Elephas maximus indicus: one gene and its partner. The protein of the gene in region 1 purifies or fractionates together with the protein of each later gene. This does not show direct contact. Links are inferred from orthologs where the notes say so. Each region holds a gene or a part of one and is shown in the gene's direction. Other genes may lie near its edges. The genes, in order: PPP6R3 and AURKA.

Evidence for each region.
Region 2: the proteins of PPP6R3 (region 1) and AURKA purify together in Homo sapiens (affinity purification with mass spectrometry; 6 studies listed by BioGRID and IntAct, counting the BioPlex papers as one, with this or other methods). This does not show direct contact. The link is inferred for Elephas maximus indicus from reciprocal best matches to the Homo sapiens genes PPP6R3 and AURKA.

The regions. Positions count from the first base shown.
Region 1 is NC_064825.1:131,203,331-131,210,847, forward strand, and holds the start of PPP6R3 (serine/threonine-protein phosphatase 6 regulatory subunit 3), read left to right. Parts: upstream 1-4,405; 5' UTR 4,406-4,524; intron 4,525-7,517.
Region 2 is NC_064843.1:13,200,763-13,208,710, forward strand, and holds the start of AURKA (aurora kinase A), read left to right. Parts: upstream 1-4,802; 5' UTR 4,803-4,880; intron 4,881-4,943; exon of another isoform or gene 4,944-5,063; intron 5,064-5,327; exon of another isoform or gene 5,328-5,437; intron 5,438-7,207; exon of another isoform or gene 7,208-7,231; intron 7,232-7,948. Other genes in the region: CSTF1 (cleavage stimulation factor subunit 1), read right to left, coding at 1,473-1,641. UniProt on the Homo sapiens protein: Mitotic serine/threonine kinase that contributes to the regulation of cell cycle progression.

The DNA.
Region 1 (7,517 bases):
CTGGGAAGGTGGGTTCCAGGATGGCGAGGCCATTCTGGGTAGAATACAAAGCTTCAAAGCGATTTCCTTCAGGAGACGCGCTGAGCACAGGTGCTTCCTCCTCTAGGAAGCCCACCCTAACCTTGGCCTCTTCGTTACCGGAGGTGCTTGGAACACTCTTATCTTGGGCCAGGTACTGCCTTGTCTTACTCGCCATGCAGACAGCCCAGAACCCATCTCAGGGTCCGGGACGGAGGAGCTGAAGCAGGTACTGGCTGATGCTTTGATGATGACGAGTCAACGCTGTGAGTCGCCATCGATTCTGACTTGTGGCGACATCATGTGTGCAGAGCGGCGGGGTTCTGAAGGGTTTCCAAGGCTGTCACCTTCTGGAAGCACACTGCCAGGCCTTACTGCCGAGGCCCCTTTGGGTGGGTTTGAACCTCCAACCTGTTGGTTAATAGTCCAGCACTTAACCGTTCGCACCACCCAGGGACTCCCTGAGTGAGTAAATCGATGTGGGTAAATCAGTGGTGGCTGGGACCTCCCCAGGCCCCCCAGGAGGGCAGGGCAGATGTCAGACGCCAACTGAGCTGTCCCTCCTGCCCCCTGCCCAGCTTCCCTTAGGTGCCCTAGGGTTCCCTGGAGCCCCTCTTGTGCTCCCTGGACCAGGCCCTCTGGCCTGGACTCCTGTGCCACCCCCTGTTACTCTTGCTCCAACCTGACCTTCCTGAAGTATGGGCAGCCCTGAACAGGTCCCTCTCCTGCTCTGAAGCTTTCTCTGGCTTCCCGTCTGAGCATAAACCCCAAATTTCCTCCCCTGTCCTCCAAGGACTCCCTGGCTGGTTCCCGACCTGATTCCTATTCTTATTCTCATCCCCAACCCCTCTCCCAGCCCCAACCCCGCTGCCATCCCCAGCCCTGTCCTCCAAAAAAGTGCATTTCCCACACTGCTCCACCCCGCCCCGGGTTATCTGTGACACACCGTCCCTAGCCCTCCCCTGCACTGAGCACACCTTCTGAATCTGTTTCCTTCTTGACTGTGTCCCTCACTAGCCTCAGTGAGCAGCAGAGTCAGTGTGAGCAACATCTGCCCTTGGTTTCTGCCTCCCTAGAGGCCCAGCACCCTCAGGGCTTGGGCACAGGCTGGTTGATGTTACCACCTGCACTTTACACATAAAAACCATAAAGTCAGAGAAGTTAGATCACCCAGCCACTTGGGTAGCACTTGGTGCCCAAATGCTTCCTAAAAAAACCAAACCAGTTGCTGTCCATTCAATTCTGACTCCTGGTGACCCCGAGTGTTGCACGGTAGAAATGCACTCCACAGGGTTTTCAAGTCTGTGACCTTTCGGAAGCAGATTGTCAGGTCTTTATTCTGAGGTGCCTCTGGGTACGTTCAAACAGCGAACCTTCCTGTCAGTAGCCCAGTGATTAACCATTTGTACCACACAAAAAACTAAACCAAACCCACTGCTGTTGAGTCGATTCTCACTCATAGAGACCCTAAAGGACACGGAGAACTGCCCATAGGGTTTCCAAGGCTGTAAATCGTTATGGAAGTGAACTGCCACATCATTCTCCTGCAGAGCTGCTGGTGGGTTCGAATTGCCAACTTTTAGGTTAACAGCTGAGCGCTTTAGCCACTGCATCACCAGGGCTCCTTTTGTACTACCCAAGCCAAGCCCGTTGCCGTTGAGTCAATTCCAACTCATAGTGACCCAGTAGGGCAGACTATAACTGTTCCACGTGGTTTCCAAGGAGAAGCTGGTGGGTTCAAACTGCTGACCTTTTGGTTGGCAGCTAAGCTTTTAACTACTACATCACCAGGGCTCCTTTGCACCATCCAAACAAACAAGAAAAACCCAAACCTGCCACCAGACTGAGTCCAGCACAACTAGATGGCGCCTGGCTACCACCACCAACAAGGATCACAATACAGGGTCCTGAACAGACCTGGGTAAAAATGTAGAATAAAATTCTAACTCACAAAGAAAGATCAGACTTACTGGAGAAACCCCAATAGTATGGCCCCCAGACACCCATTTAACTCAGTACTGAAGTCACCCCTGAGGTTCACCCTTCGGCTGAAGATTAGACAGGCCCATACAGTGAAAGGAGACTAAATGAGCACACCAACCCAGGGGCAAGGATGAGAAAGCAGGAGGGGCTTGGAAAGCTGGTAATGGGAAAGCCAAGGCCAAGAAGGGGAGTGTTGACATGTGGGGTCAGCAACCAATGTCAGAACAATATGTGTATTAATTGTTTAATGAAAAACTAACTTGGTCAGTAAACCATCATCTAAAGCACAAAAACAAAACAAAACAAAACAAAAAAAGAAACCCTTTGCGGTGGGGTCGATTTTGACTCCACCAGGTACTCCTAAATGCTCTCCAGGCCTCAGCTAACTAATCTGTAAAACGGGAACAAAGACATTGTTCTGGAGCTGTCGGCAACCAGCTCCTCCTGGAGAGTTTGCCTCCAGCCACAGGGTCTGCCGAAGGGCTGAGCTGGGGAGGTGTGCCCATGTTTGCTCCAGAGACCCGGTTCCCCGGAGCTGACCCAACAAGCCAAGTTGGGCCAGATTCGCCCTGCAGTACCAGACTCTTCAGTGAGCTGGACGAGTTCAGGCCAGCTGGGGCCTGTGTAAGGAGCGAGGGCAGGGGTGCAGACAGATACTGAGCCCAGAGGTAGGTAGGCGATCAGAACCAAAGGAGGTTGGAGGCGGAAGACGCAGCGTGGCACCCACTCGGCTGGTCCTGCCCCCGCCCCCACCTGCAGTGGCCAAGTTCTACCCCTGGAGGCAGCCTGGGGAAGTCTCAGTCACCCAGGTACCCTATTTGACCTGGAAAGACCAAGCTGGCACTACAGGAGCAGCTGCTGGCAGAGGCTGGGGGAGACCTGCCAGCCCCCTGCCTGGAGCCCCCTCTGTGGTTCCAGGCCCGGAGTCCTCTGAGTAATGCGCCTCAGGGGCTGTTGAGTTCCCCCAGGCCTGTGGCACTGTTCTAAGAGGTCTCCGTGACCCTGCCCCATTGCTCACCACTGCCACTCTTCCTGTCCTGTCCCTCTCCTGCCACCCCCAGCTTCCTCTGTACCGTGAGCACTCCAAAGCCCCACCTTGGGGTCTCTGCGCGGGTCTCAATCCCTGCCACGCCCGACCCAAGAGCCCACGGCTTGTCCCTCCTGTCCTGCGGGCTTTGGTGGAAATGTCACCTCCTCGGAAGGGCGTCCAGCACTCTCTGCCACCAGCCGGTCGGCTTCCCTGATGTTTCTCTGGCTGCGGACTGAGTGTCCGAGGCGCGAGGACGTCTGCGCCCCTGTACCCCACAGTCCTTGCACACCCGCAGCGCCCAGTACAGAGCTGCTGCACGAACGGACAGGCCAGCCTGCCTGCTGAGGTCCCCATCCCAAGCACATCCTTGGGGTGCGACCTCGCATCCGACTCCACTCGGCGGACCTTGTTTGTCCTTTTCATCTCCTGTTTCTAACTGTTGCCCTCTTGTTGATTTCCGTGCGACTCTGAAAGGCGCCTCCAGTCCACGCTGGGACAAGGCAGGTTGTTAGGAAGCGCCGACGGCGGGCGCCCGGGACTCGTGGGTGTCTCGGGCCGGTTCACCGGAAGGAAAGGGGGTCCTGTGGCCGGGAAGCCTCTCGGGGAGGAGGAGCCCCGGCGGTTCTGTGAGCCACTCGAGTGTAAATCCTTCTCGACGACAAAAGGGACACGCCACCCCATCAGTCCTGCTTTCCCCCGCGGAGGTGGGCGCCACAGCGAGAGAGGGAAAGCCAGCTTTCCACCTTGACCCGAATCCCGGCACTGCCCCTTGGCGCGGATGAATGGCCAACGGCACCTTTTTACAAAATGCAGCGTGGAGAATGCGGGCATCGATCCCGCTACCTCTCACATGCTAAGCGAGCGCTCTACCACTTGAGCTAATTCCCCAGCTCTGACCCATTTCCGTCGCCGGGAAGCACATAGCGCTCACGTCATCATTCGCGTCCCCGTGGCCGCGTCCCCGCCCCTGGACATCGGGTTCATCCATTGGCTCCCCTGCCGCCCGATGCCCGCGGCCAGGATTGGTTTGGCTCCATTCAGTTTTAAAAGGCATTGTTTCCTCGGATTGGTGGTCAGCAACGTCCGTCAGGCGGAGTCCCTGCTGTTGCTATGGCGCAGGGGGATTCCACCAGGCTTCTCCTGGTTTCTGATTTGTTTCTCAGGCTCCAGGGTTCTAGAGGTTCCGGATCCGTCAAGTCCATGGGAAAAGAATGCGCCCTTCGCACTTGACTGATGCCTTCCACAGGCCAATCGGAGTGGAGGCCGCGGAGCTGAGGACCCACCCAATAGGCCGCAGGGGGCGGGGAAGGCAGGCCAATGCGCGTTGAGCTGGGGGCGGGGCAGAGCGGCGATTGGCGGCGAGGCGGCCGGAGGGAGGGCGGGGAGCTCAAGGCCTGCTTGATACGTCCGCCATTTTGGGCGCTTCGCTGATGGTGTCGGTGAGCGCGTTTCCCGCCTGAGCGCGACTTGCGGCAGGTCGCGGGCACCTCCAGGTAACCGCGGGGGGAGGCGGCGGGCGGGCCGCGGCGCAGGGGGCGCGCGGCGGGGCTCTCGGCCGGGTCTCGGGGCGCGGGCAGGAGCGTCCGGTCCCTCTTCCCCTCCCCCCCGGAATAAGCTCGCCCCGCGGCCCGGAGGCGGCGAGTCCTCCGGCCGTCCTCGGCCGCCCTGTCAGGCCGCGCTCCCCGCCGAGGCCCCGTCGGGCCGGGCCGAGGGCGGGCGGCGAGCCCGGCGGGCAGTTCTGCTCCCGCCCGGACGGGCGCGGCCTGCGCGGCGGCGGCGGCGGCGGGCGGGCGAGGCGGCCAGCGGAGGCGCGCTCTTCTCGGGGCTCCGGCTCCAGGCGTCCCGCCGCCCGGAGCGCCGCCCGGGGTCCCGCGCGGGGCCTGGGGGTCCCCGGAGTCCCGGGCCCGGCCGCCGCTCCCTGGGAACTTGTCGGTCGGGCCGCGGGAGCGGCAGCAGCTCGGGGGCGATGCGCGAAGGCCATTGTTGGACCCCGCTCCCCGGGAGACAAGTTTTGTCGGTTCCAGGTAATTCGCCGCAGAGTCGGGAGAGCCGCGCGGGTCCCTTCGGGGTATTTAGACGCCTTTCCAGGTGATCTCAGACTCCGCTGCTGTGACTCGAACGCAGACCTGGTCGCGAACGCCTCCCGGGCGAGTGCGAGCCTGGGGGATGGTCCTCCTGTGGCTGGGAGTTCCTCCCTCTTAAAGAAGCCCCAAACCAAAAAGACCAGACCCTCTGTCCGACTCCTAGCGACCCTATAGCCCCGGTCCTTGCTAACTCGGAGGTCGTGCCTCCTAGCTGGGTCCTGCTGGCTTTGATTACAGGCAGTGGACAGAACGAGCCTTTAAAGGGTGGACCTCTGCGTCCTGACTCCTTAGCTTCATAACTTCATGGAATTTCCTCGGTTCTGGACGTTTTCTCCGTAGACGGGTCGAGCTGTGGTTTCTGTGTTGGGTTTATGGGAGGGGCACTTTGTGGTTGATTTCTCTCATCCTCGCAGCTCTTGTTAAGGTCGATATTATCCCATTTAATTAATGGGACGGGTACTTTGATTTTGTCCTCAAGGTCAGGTTGGAAATGGACAACAAGTGGGAAAGGGACTCCAGGTTTCCGCCCTTGCAATGTGCCCTCAGTAGCAAGTGTGTGATACGCGGTTAGCCGTGGTGGTTGAGCTTTCTTCACTCTGAAGTTAGACTGTCTGGATTCTAACTCCAGTGCTTGACCACTTTCTTGCTCTGTGACCTTGGGCAAGTTGCTCAACCTCTCTGTTTCCTTTGAAATATGGAAATAATAATAGTGTCTACCTCACAAGGTTGTTGGGCGTAAATGATTTAATACATATGAAGCACTTAGAACTGTGCTTAGCACATAGAATCAGCGCAGTAATTTGTGGCTATTATTAATTTAAATTTGATTTTTAAATATTTAGATACTGTTAGGAAGTCGAAGGAGCCCTGATGGCACAGTGGTTAAGTGCTGGGCTGCGAACTGAAAGGCCAGCAATTCTAATCCGCTAGCCACTCCAAGGGAGAAAAATCTGACAGTCTGCTTCCATAAAGATCACAGCCTTGGAAACCCTGTGGGGCAGTTCTGCTGTCAGACAGGGTCGCTGTGAGTTGTAATCAGTTCCATGGCAGTGATTTAAGAAGTCAGATGAGTGCTTAAGCCCTGGCTCTTGGTAACCATCTTCAGAAAGCTCTGTGTATTAGGAGCTCGTTGGAACTGGGAAAGTGAACTGGAAGTTATTGTCATTTTTTCTGGGAAGGGGTAGTTGGAGATTCAGCTACATACTTTGCCAGAGCAATTGGTGGCCTGTCTCAGGATGTTCTCTGTACCAGGTGGTTAAATACAGAAGAGCCTGTCAAGAGCTTGAGTGGGACTCTGTTCCTCCTGTGCTTCTGGATACCATTTACGAGTGTGACTGGCGAGTCAGTATTCGGCGCCAAATAAGTAACTCAGGCGTTTCTCAGTGGACCCCGTAGGTTGTTAACTGAGATTTGGATTAACACAGCTAAGATGTTGAAAGGTTACTGGGTATTGAGATATACTTCAGTGAGGATAGTTTGGGAAATAATTCTAGTCCTTGATAATGGATACTTGGAAAGCTATTTTGTCCCTGTCTGATCAGGGAGTCTAGGATGTTTTACAAGATGTCAGCCACCCAGTCACACATACCCTTACAGTCTTACTTAACGCCCTGTGTTCTTCTCCAGTGTGGTGCCCAGAGCCCTGCTTGCCTTCCCTGGGTGGTGGTTGCTTGGGATCCAGCTTGCTTGGCTGCGCTGGAGAAGTGTGTTTTCCTGTGCCTAGAAGAGATGAGCAACTTGCTGCTGTATCAGGACTCAAGAACAGGAAAAAGATTGTTTTTGGGTTTAGAAAGCTTTGACTTCTTTTATGTAAAGTATAGCAAAAAACCTTCAAACTCCCTAGTTTCATTTTGCTGATGGAGAATTGGCCATAGCTGGACAGGAAATGAATAGTAATAGAATTAAGACTTGATGTAGGGTGGGGTTTATTGGAGGGCGGGGTTTGTCGGAGGGTGGGGTTTGTTGGAGGCCACATTTTTGCCTGTTTGGCGCAGCAGTAACGTGCTTATTACAAGTAAACCATCTTTTTTATTTATAAAGCAGAATATTTGTCAGGACCAGTATTTGGCTTCTGTGATAAACCTGTATCTTCCACTTTTGTGTTTTCAGTATTTGAGAGGCAGTATTATATATTGGTCTGGAGCCTTGGTGGCACAGTGGTTAAGAGCTCAGGCTGCTAACCAAAAAGGTTGGCAGTTCAAATCCTCCAGCCGTTCCTTGGACTCCCCACTGGGCAGTTCTGCTCTGTCCTAGAGGGTCGCTATGAGTCGGAATCGACTTAACACCAGGAATTTTTTTTTCTGTGTTTGTTTTTGATATTTTGGTCTAAAATTTTACAGTGTTTTACTACACTTAAGGAGTAAATGGTAGCAATAACGAAGCTCTCCTAACCATTGGCTTGC
Region 2 (7,948 bases), on another chromosome or scaffold:
AACCTCCTAACTGGTCTCCTGACCTCCATGCTCAGACTTCTACAACCCACTCACCACATCATTCCTAAAATAATTTTTAAAATAAACTGGGTATACTCTCAAAAAAAAAGAAAAAAAAGAAGATGCCCCTGGACTGCCCAACCCCCTTCGATCATATTCTGTTTTGTGTATCACTGTGGACCTTTTTGTTTCCGTTTATGCAGACAAGACAGTTCTGTAGGGTATAAACCACAGCTTGTTTCACACTATAGATACTTCTCTGAAGTTTGCCTTCTTTAAAGTGATTTCTCTAAGCTGCAGATTCAGTCATTTTACTCTCTGCTAGAAACACATCCCCAGGTACAGTACGTATGTAGTCATGCCGCCCAGATTCCTGTTCTAGGAGGGATTGCTGCAGGGCACAACCTCGTCCACGGTGGTTACCTTCCCTGTGCAGTCCACATCCTAGGATGGGGTGAGGCCAGGTACACAGGCTTGGTTCTCTTGGCCTGACACAGACTCAGGGACAACATTCACTCTAGTGCCCTCCACTGGGGATGCTTTGTTGGGCCTGAGTTGCATTCGATTTATTCCTCTGCCCAATCCTGCGTGCTCCCTTTCCCTGCTTAGGTGCTGATCCCTATTAAACATCTCATACACAAACCCCACCTTGGCGTCTGCTTCCAGAGCTAGGCCTATAACACACTGCCTATCAGATACAGTTTCAACTCCAGCACAGTAACTGAGACAAGACTATGTATTCAGCCACTCTGTTCTATTGCGTTTTCTATAGCCAGGTGGGCGTTAGAATGCCATGTTGAACAGGACAAGGTCCTGACTGTTACTAACTTTAGCGAGGAGGAGGAGAGACGGCTTGTGCAGGAACAACCCAAACAATAAAGAACATTTCACACAGTGATTCCCTTATGAAGGAAAGAGCCAGGTTGGCTGTGGTGGAGTAACTGGGGAGTGTGGGGAAGATCATGGGATTACTTTAGAGGGTGAGGACAACTCTGAGGTGACACGTGAGCCAAGACCTGAAGGAAGTCAGTAATAACACATCAAAGTCCTTCAGGCCCTGAGGCTGGAAGTGGCTTAAAGTGTTCATGATCTGGACTTTGCTTACCCCATTGGTATCCAGCACTAAACCTGGCACGTTTAAAACAAAAACAAAACAAAAAAGAACCCGCTGCCGCCGAGTCGATTCTGACTCACAGCGACCCTCTAGGACAAAGCAGAACTGCCCCATAGGGTTTCCAAGGCTGTAATCTTTATGCAAACAAACTGCCACGTCTTTTTCCCTCAGAGTGGCTGGTGGGTTCGAACTGCTGACCTTTCAGTTAGCAGCTAAGTGCTTTAACTGCTGCGCCACCAGGGCTCCTTACCTGGTCCATAGTAGGCATTAAAACTCAACTATAATCATCTTAAAAACCTCTGATGCCTGAAAACACCCAAAACCTCGTCTCGGAGCTACGCATTCCCTGACAGGCTACCTAGTTTGATGAGATGCAGGAGCTGCTCTGAGGGGGCACACACGGACTGGGGCTTGATTTCGTTGATGAGGCCGTTGGCAATGCTGATGTAGCCATCATACAGCAGCTGGCTGATGATCAGCTTGTAGAGCTGCTGACGGTCCTTCAGGCCCACTTTGGTTCTGTACATCTTGGAGGCGAGGAAGACGGTTTCCCTGCCAGCTGCAAGAAGAGAACACGGGTGGGTGGGGAAGGGCAGAGGCATGAGGAAATCACCGGACGCAACACAGGTCTCTGGGGTCAGCCGTGTGGGGCTGAAATCCAGCTCTAGTGGCCGCATCATCTTTGGTCAGTGACTTCATTTCCCTGAGGCTCGGGTTCCCCAGCTGTTCAGTAAATCACTGAAGGTTAACAAGATGTGCACATAGGGCACTGAGCACAGAAGGCATTTGAGTCATGCCAGCTGAGATCGAGAGTAGCATTTCCCTTCAACTTACCCTCACCCTTTCCTTCTCTGACAAAACTGTTGTTGGGTGCCATCGAGTCAATTCCAACACAGTGACTCCATGTGACAGAGTAGATGTGTCCTATAGGGTTTCTTGGCTGTAATCTTTACAGGGGCACATTGCCAGGTCTTTCCTCCTGCAAAGCTGCTGGTGGGCTTGAACAGCCAACCTCTTGATTAGCAGCCAAGCACCTACAAGCTGCACCACCCGGGCTCATTCTGCCAAAACCACTTGCCTACAATTTTAATCCTTTATTGCTGTCCCAGGAACTTCCATTTCTTCTGTTAACAAAACACTGAGTGGTGTTGAAAATTGTGGACAGGTGCTACTTTCTCGAACGTCTAGGGACTACTGTTTCCACCAGCTGAGCTGTATGTTTACCAAAGTCAGTCATGCTTGTTCCTAAAATCTGTTTTACGGCAACCAATCTTGTTACTGAATTATATAATTACACAATAAATTAAAATATGAGGGCAAAAAGCTATTGTTTTAATGAAAACTAAAACAAGTTGAATGCTCTGGAAAGACAAAACATGAACCACTTAAAAAAAATATTGCCAACTAACATATGGGAAAAATGGGGGAGAGAAAAGAAAAAATCTGGAATGATTGTGCATTCAGATTGATTTCCAAGTGTCTAAGTGCTCCCAAAGTCTTAAAAGACCTGTAGTAGTCCTATTAAAGGAGCACTGGTGGCACAATGGTTTAGCGCTAGGCTGCTAACCAAAGGGTCGGTGGTTCCAACCTGTCAGTCACCAGAAAAGACCTGGTGATTGGATCCTGTAAAGATTACAGCCTAGGAAACTCTATGGGACAGTCCCACTCTGCCCTACAGGGTTGCTATGAGTTGGAATTGACTTGATGGCACAAAGTAACAGTGGACCTAATTAGATAAGACATTGATTATCAAAAATCACAGACCCAACGAACGTGTGGGCAGGTAATCAGAAGGCTGCAGATGCCTGGGAATAGCAATAAAAAAGAAAAGTTGTGGATTTGCAGCCTGAGAGAGAGAAACAGAGACAAGAAAAACCAGAGTGAACGGTAACATCAGGACCTCTTGGTGTTGTTATATTTACTTGGTATTGCTATATTCTGAAAAAGAAGATGTATGCAGGAAAGAGATGGAGAACCACCTGTTCTAACTACATAGCTTCCTCTGGAGAGTCACTGAGGTTACTGATCATAATAACAGCTAACACTAACTGAACGTTTACCATGTTTTATCTCATTTAATCCTCAAAAGCATCCTATAATGGAGGTTTTGTAATCGCCTTGTTTCCAGGTGAAGGAAAATAAGTTACTCAAGTTCTCACAAGTATTGCCTGGAGAAATCAGGGCTGGAACACTGGGGGTGTGTCTTTAGAGCCCGTGTTGTCCCTAAACACAACTTCGTAATGTTCCCTAAAAGCTTAACAACAATAATCCTGGCTAGTATTTATTTGATATTTGTCGTTCTTGTTAGTTGCCATTGAGTCGATTCCAACTATGGCAACTCCATGTGAGTACAATATGCAGGACACATTGTGTAAACAGCTTACATGCATCACCTCATTCACTCCACAGCTAGTCCTACTTAGAGATAAGCAACCTGAGGCCCAAACCAAAATGAAACCCATTGCTGTCAAATTGATTCTGACTCATAGCAACTAGAAGGACAGAGAACTGCCCCATAAGGTTTCCAAGGAGTGGCTGGTGGACTTGAACTGCCGACCGTCTAGTCAACAGCTGAGCTCTTCACCACTGTGCCACCAGGGCTCCAACCTGAGGCCCAGAGAGGTTAACTAACTCAGCCAGGGTCAAACAGCTTGCTAATGGCAGGGCCTGCGTGCTAACCCCACACTATACTGGTGGGTGTTAATAATAACAGGAACATTTACTGAGCATTCCTACATACTGGACACCGTCCTAAGCACTTCAAGAGTATGCAGAAGCAAATCTATGTACATCTATGCTTCTGTAGGCAATACTGAGACACAACGATGAAACGGGGCTCAGAGAGGTTAGGAAACCCACCAAAGTTAAGTGTGGCTGGTTAATCCACCCAGAGCTCAGAACTTAACTATTATTTTAACCCGTATCTTCAGTGTATCATGGGGTGCACAAAGAGCTCAACAAAAGAAAGCAGAGCGAGCTCCCGCTTCCCAACTCCCATTGTACGTTCACTAGCCGGGCTAGCAGGAGTCTACTTACTATCCCCCGTTTGCAGGTGGGGACACTGAGGCCCGGAGACACGAGGAATGCCGGAGTTGGGAGACCCGGGCGAGAACAAACTCTCCTTACTGTACGCGCCACAACCATCCCAAGGCAAAGGCGAACTAAGAACGGGGAGGGGACGGGCGCGACGTCCCCTTTTAGGAAGAGGAGGGGGTGTGCTGGCCCAGCCCGGCAACTCAGAAAACCGAGCTCAGGCTGCAGGCCTCTCCCCTCACTCTTGACCCTCCTGCCTCTCCTCAGTCCTGCCCGCGGGCCCTTGCAGGCCCCAACCGACCGCACAGCCACTCTCCCCGCATCCCGGAACCCCCTTACCCGCTGATCCGGCTCTCGCGGTCCCCGCTCTCTTTTAGAAAAATGGAGGCGCGAATGCTTCCCAATCGATCGCTCGGCGCGCACGTTCTCTGCGCAGGCGCACAAGGCGCCGCGCCGAGCGCTGCGCTATCGATCGGCCCCATTCTCTCGTCTGCCCTCCTCGCCATCTTACTTACTGGCACGTTCCAGAGGCTCGTTCACCTCCCCTGGATTTATTCCTTGTGCGGCAGCCCTGACGCAAGGGAACTGTTGTTTCCCAGAAAAATGCCCGATCCCGGACAGCACCGCGGGCACTAGGACGGCCCCAGGTCTGGCGGGCCGTTGCGCCACCACTTCCGGCACTTTACGGAGCGAGTGCGCCTGCGCGGATCTCAGCCTTGTCATGTGACTCGAGGTCCGGTCCTTTGTTAACCAATCAGAAGGCAGTCTCTCTTCAACGCAAGCCAATCAACTTTCGGGTTAGAGGGTTTAACTCGTATTTAAAAAGAGGAGGCTTTGCTTCCTAACGGCTAAGATCTTGGGCGGATTGGCGGCCACTGGTCGGAGGTGGCAGGTGACCAGTGTGTAGCGGGCAGGGGTGAGGCCTGGGACGAGGGGGGCTCGTCGAAGGCGGCCTCAGGGCGGGTGGCGGGGCTGGAGGCCGAGGGGCCCAGAGGAAGGTTCCGCGAGGGTCGCCCTCCCAGCCTGTCCACAGTGCCCACCTGGGCTCTTCAGGCGCGTTTCCTTCGGCGGGTGGGCACCGAGGCGCCTTGGAAATGCCGCGTGTTGTTTATTCCCGTAGAAGCGGATGGGGGTTGTTGAGTGGTGTTGCGGGTGCTTCTGATGGGATTCTCGTATTCAGTGAGCAGCTGGGTTAAGAAAAATACGGAGGGGTCTCTGCCGTCCTGGAGTTCACCTTCTGTCTGGGTTGAGGAGACAGACGACGAACTAACAAGATAACGTCCAACAGTGGTGGGTGTTCTGAACCAAGTGAAACAGTTACATGGTTTAACGGGGGTTACTTTAGATCTACTCGGCTGCTTAGGAAAGGTTGGCGGCCAAAGAAAGGTTGGCGGTTGGAACCCACCCAGCGGCCCTGCAGGAGAAAGGCCGGCAGTCTGGTTCTGTAAAGATTGCAGCCAAGAAAGCCCTTTGGGACAGTTCTACTCTGTCACATGGGGTTGCTATGAATTGGAATTGGCTAAATGGCACCCAACAACAGCTTTAGATAAAGGGTCCTGAGTGGCGCAAACCTTATGGAGCGGTTCTGCTCTGCTCACATGGGGTCACCATGGGTAGGAATTGACTGGAAGGCCGCTAACAACAACTTTAGGTAGAATAGCCTGGGAAGGGGCTTATCCTGGCTGGATGAGTGAATGGACAAAGAAATGAATGATAACCTTCTGCAGAGGCCTTCCCAGGCCAGCGTTTCTCAAACCTTGGACCACCTATATGAGATTACTGGGGCCCTTGTTAAAAATGTAAGAAGCCCTGGTGGCCCGGTGATTGAGAGCTCGGCTGCTAACTGAAAGCTTGGTGGTTCGAACCCACCAGCCACTCCACGGGAGAAAGATGTGGCAGTCTGCTTCCACAGAGATTACAGCCCAGGAAACCCTATGGGGCAGTTCTGCTCTGTCCTGTAAGGTCACTGGGAGTCTGAATCAACTCGATTGCAACAAGTTTGTTAAAAATGTAGACCCTTGCTGCATACCCAATGAATCAGAATCCCTTGGGAATAGGACCCAGGTGTGTCTACTTTCAGCAAGCTCTCCAGGTGATTCTGATGTTTCAGTGAGAACTAGTGGTCTATACCAGTGCATAGTATCATCTGGGGATGATGTTAACATTTACGATCTGATTTATTTAGTAGCCTGGGGTTGGCCCTGAGAGTCTCCATTTCTAACAAAAGTCAGGCAGTGCAGCTACTGCCCTTGACTTTCAATTCTGCCCCCTCCTTAATGTTCCTTTTTCCTTGACTTAAACACTTTTCAGCAGTGTACTCAGTTCCTTTCCACTCACTTTCATCTTTGTAGACATTCACAGGTCTCCTGTGCTGAGGGAGGAAAAAAATAAGTCCTGACCGTCAACCCAGAGTGCTGTTAAAGCTAACACTTTTCCTAGTTAGAATTGTAGGATCTCATGAAGGTCCTCTTGTCACTGCCTCCTGCATCTGGTTCTAGATCAGAATCACCCGAGGAGCAGTCTCCCTGGGCGAGTCCTCAGAATTTCTGAATCAGAATCTTATCCATTCTGCTTCTTCATCATTCATCTTCATGAGGAGAAAAAGAAAGAATAAATTGGAGCCAATGTCTGTAGCTTTTGTCAGAAGACTGTTGAGTAAATGTCCTGAGGCCTCTGTGATCTCCTTAGTCAGCTACTTGTGATTGTTAGGGAAACTGGAAGCCTCAGAGCATGTCTTAGAAATTAATGTTTGCATAATATAAACATATAAGTCCTGTTACTTTTTTTGTTTATTATTATTTTTTACTTAACCATTTTCTGTAAGAGCCTGGGCTTTTTAGGCCTCTTCATCATGAAGTTTGCATATTTATAAAATGAATATAAAGCTTTGGGATGTGCTTTCTGGTTGCATTATCATATTCACTGAGCAGCTGGGTAAGACAAATATGGAAACGTTTCTGCAGTCTCGATAGGTGATAGTGCCTGACTCACAGTGTGGGCTTACTGTGAACTTTTTGTTGATGTAGAGGCTGTCCCGGGGCTACAAACAGACCCATTCCTGACTGTGTCTTTAAGAATTTGCAGGTAGGTTGGAACAGGTGCATAGGGTTCTCATTTAGCTTTACTTTAGCGCAAGAAAAGACTTGGAGCCCTTTCGGTGAATTCAGAGCTGTGTGTGTGGCAAATGGAGGTGATCGTGATGAATTTGTTGCAGGTCAGGGGCTGGTTCAATTGTTTCACTAAATCTGTTGCTGTCCAGTCAGTTCCGACTCATAGTGACCCCATAGGATAGAGTAGAAGTGCCCCATAGGATTTCCAAGGAGCAGCTGGTGGATCTGAACTGCTGACCTTTTGGTCAGCAGCCTAGCTCTTAACCACTGTGCCACCAGGGCTCCTCATTTGTTTCAAAGCAAGGGCAAGTTTCCCCAACATTGAAGGATAAGTCTGAGTTATCCGTAAGGCGGACGTTGGTAACTGGGGACTTACTGTACTTTGTAAAAAAAACTCATTGAGTGATTTGATGCATACTGTGTGCCAGGTGCTGTTCTAGGTTCCGGGGGTGCAACAGTGAGCAAAGTAGGACTGAGCCCTTGCTGTCACAGAGCTTTCTTTCTAGTGGGGAGAGGTGCACAGTAAATACATATGTAACGTTCGTGTAGAATGCTGAGAGACGTGAAGAAAAGTAAGGGAGGGGTGGTCCTGGAAAGGCACACTTGAGCCGAGACCGGAATGAAATGGAGGGTGAGCCACACATCTGAGGAAAGAGCCTAATAGGTAGATGGAACAGGAAGTGCAAAGGCC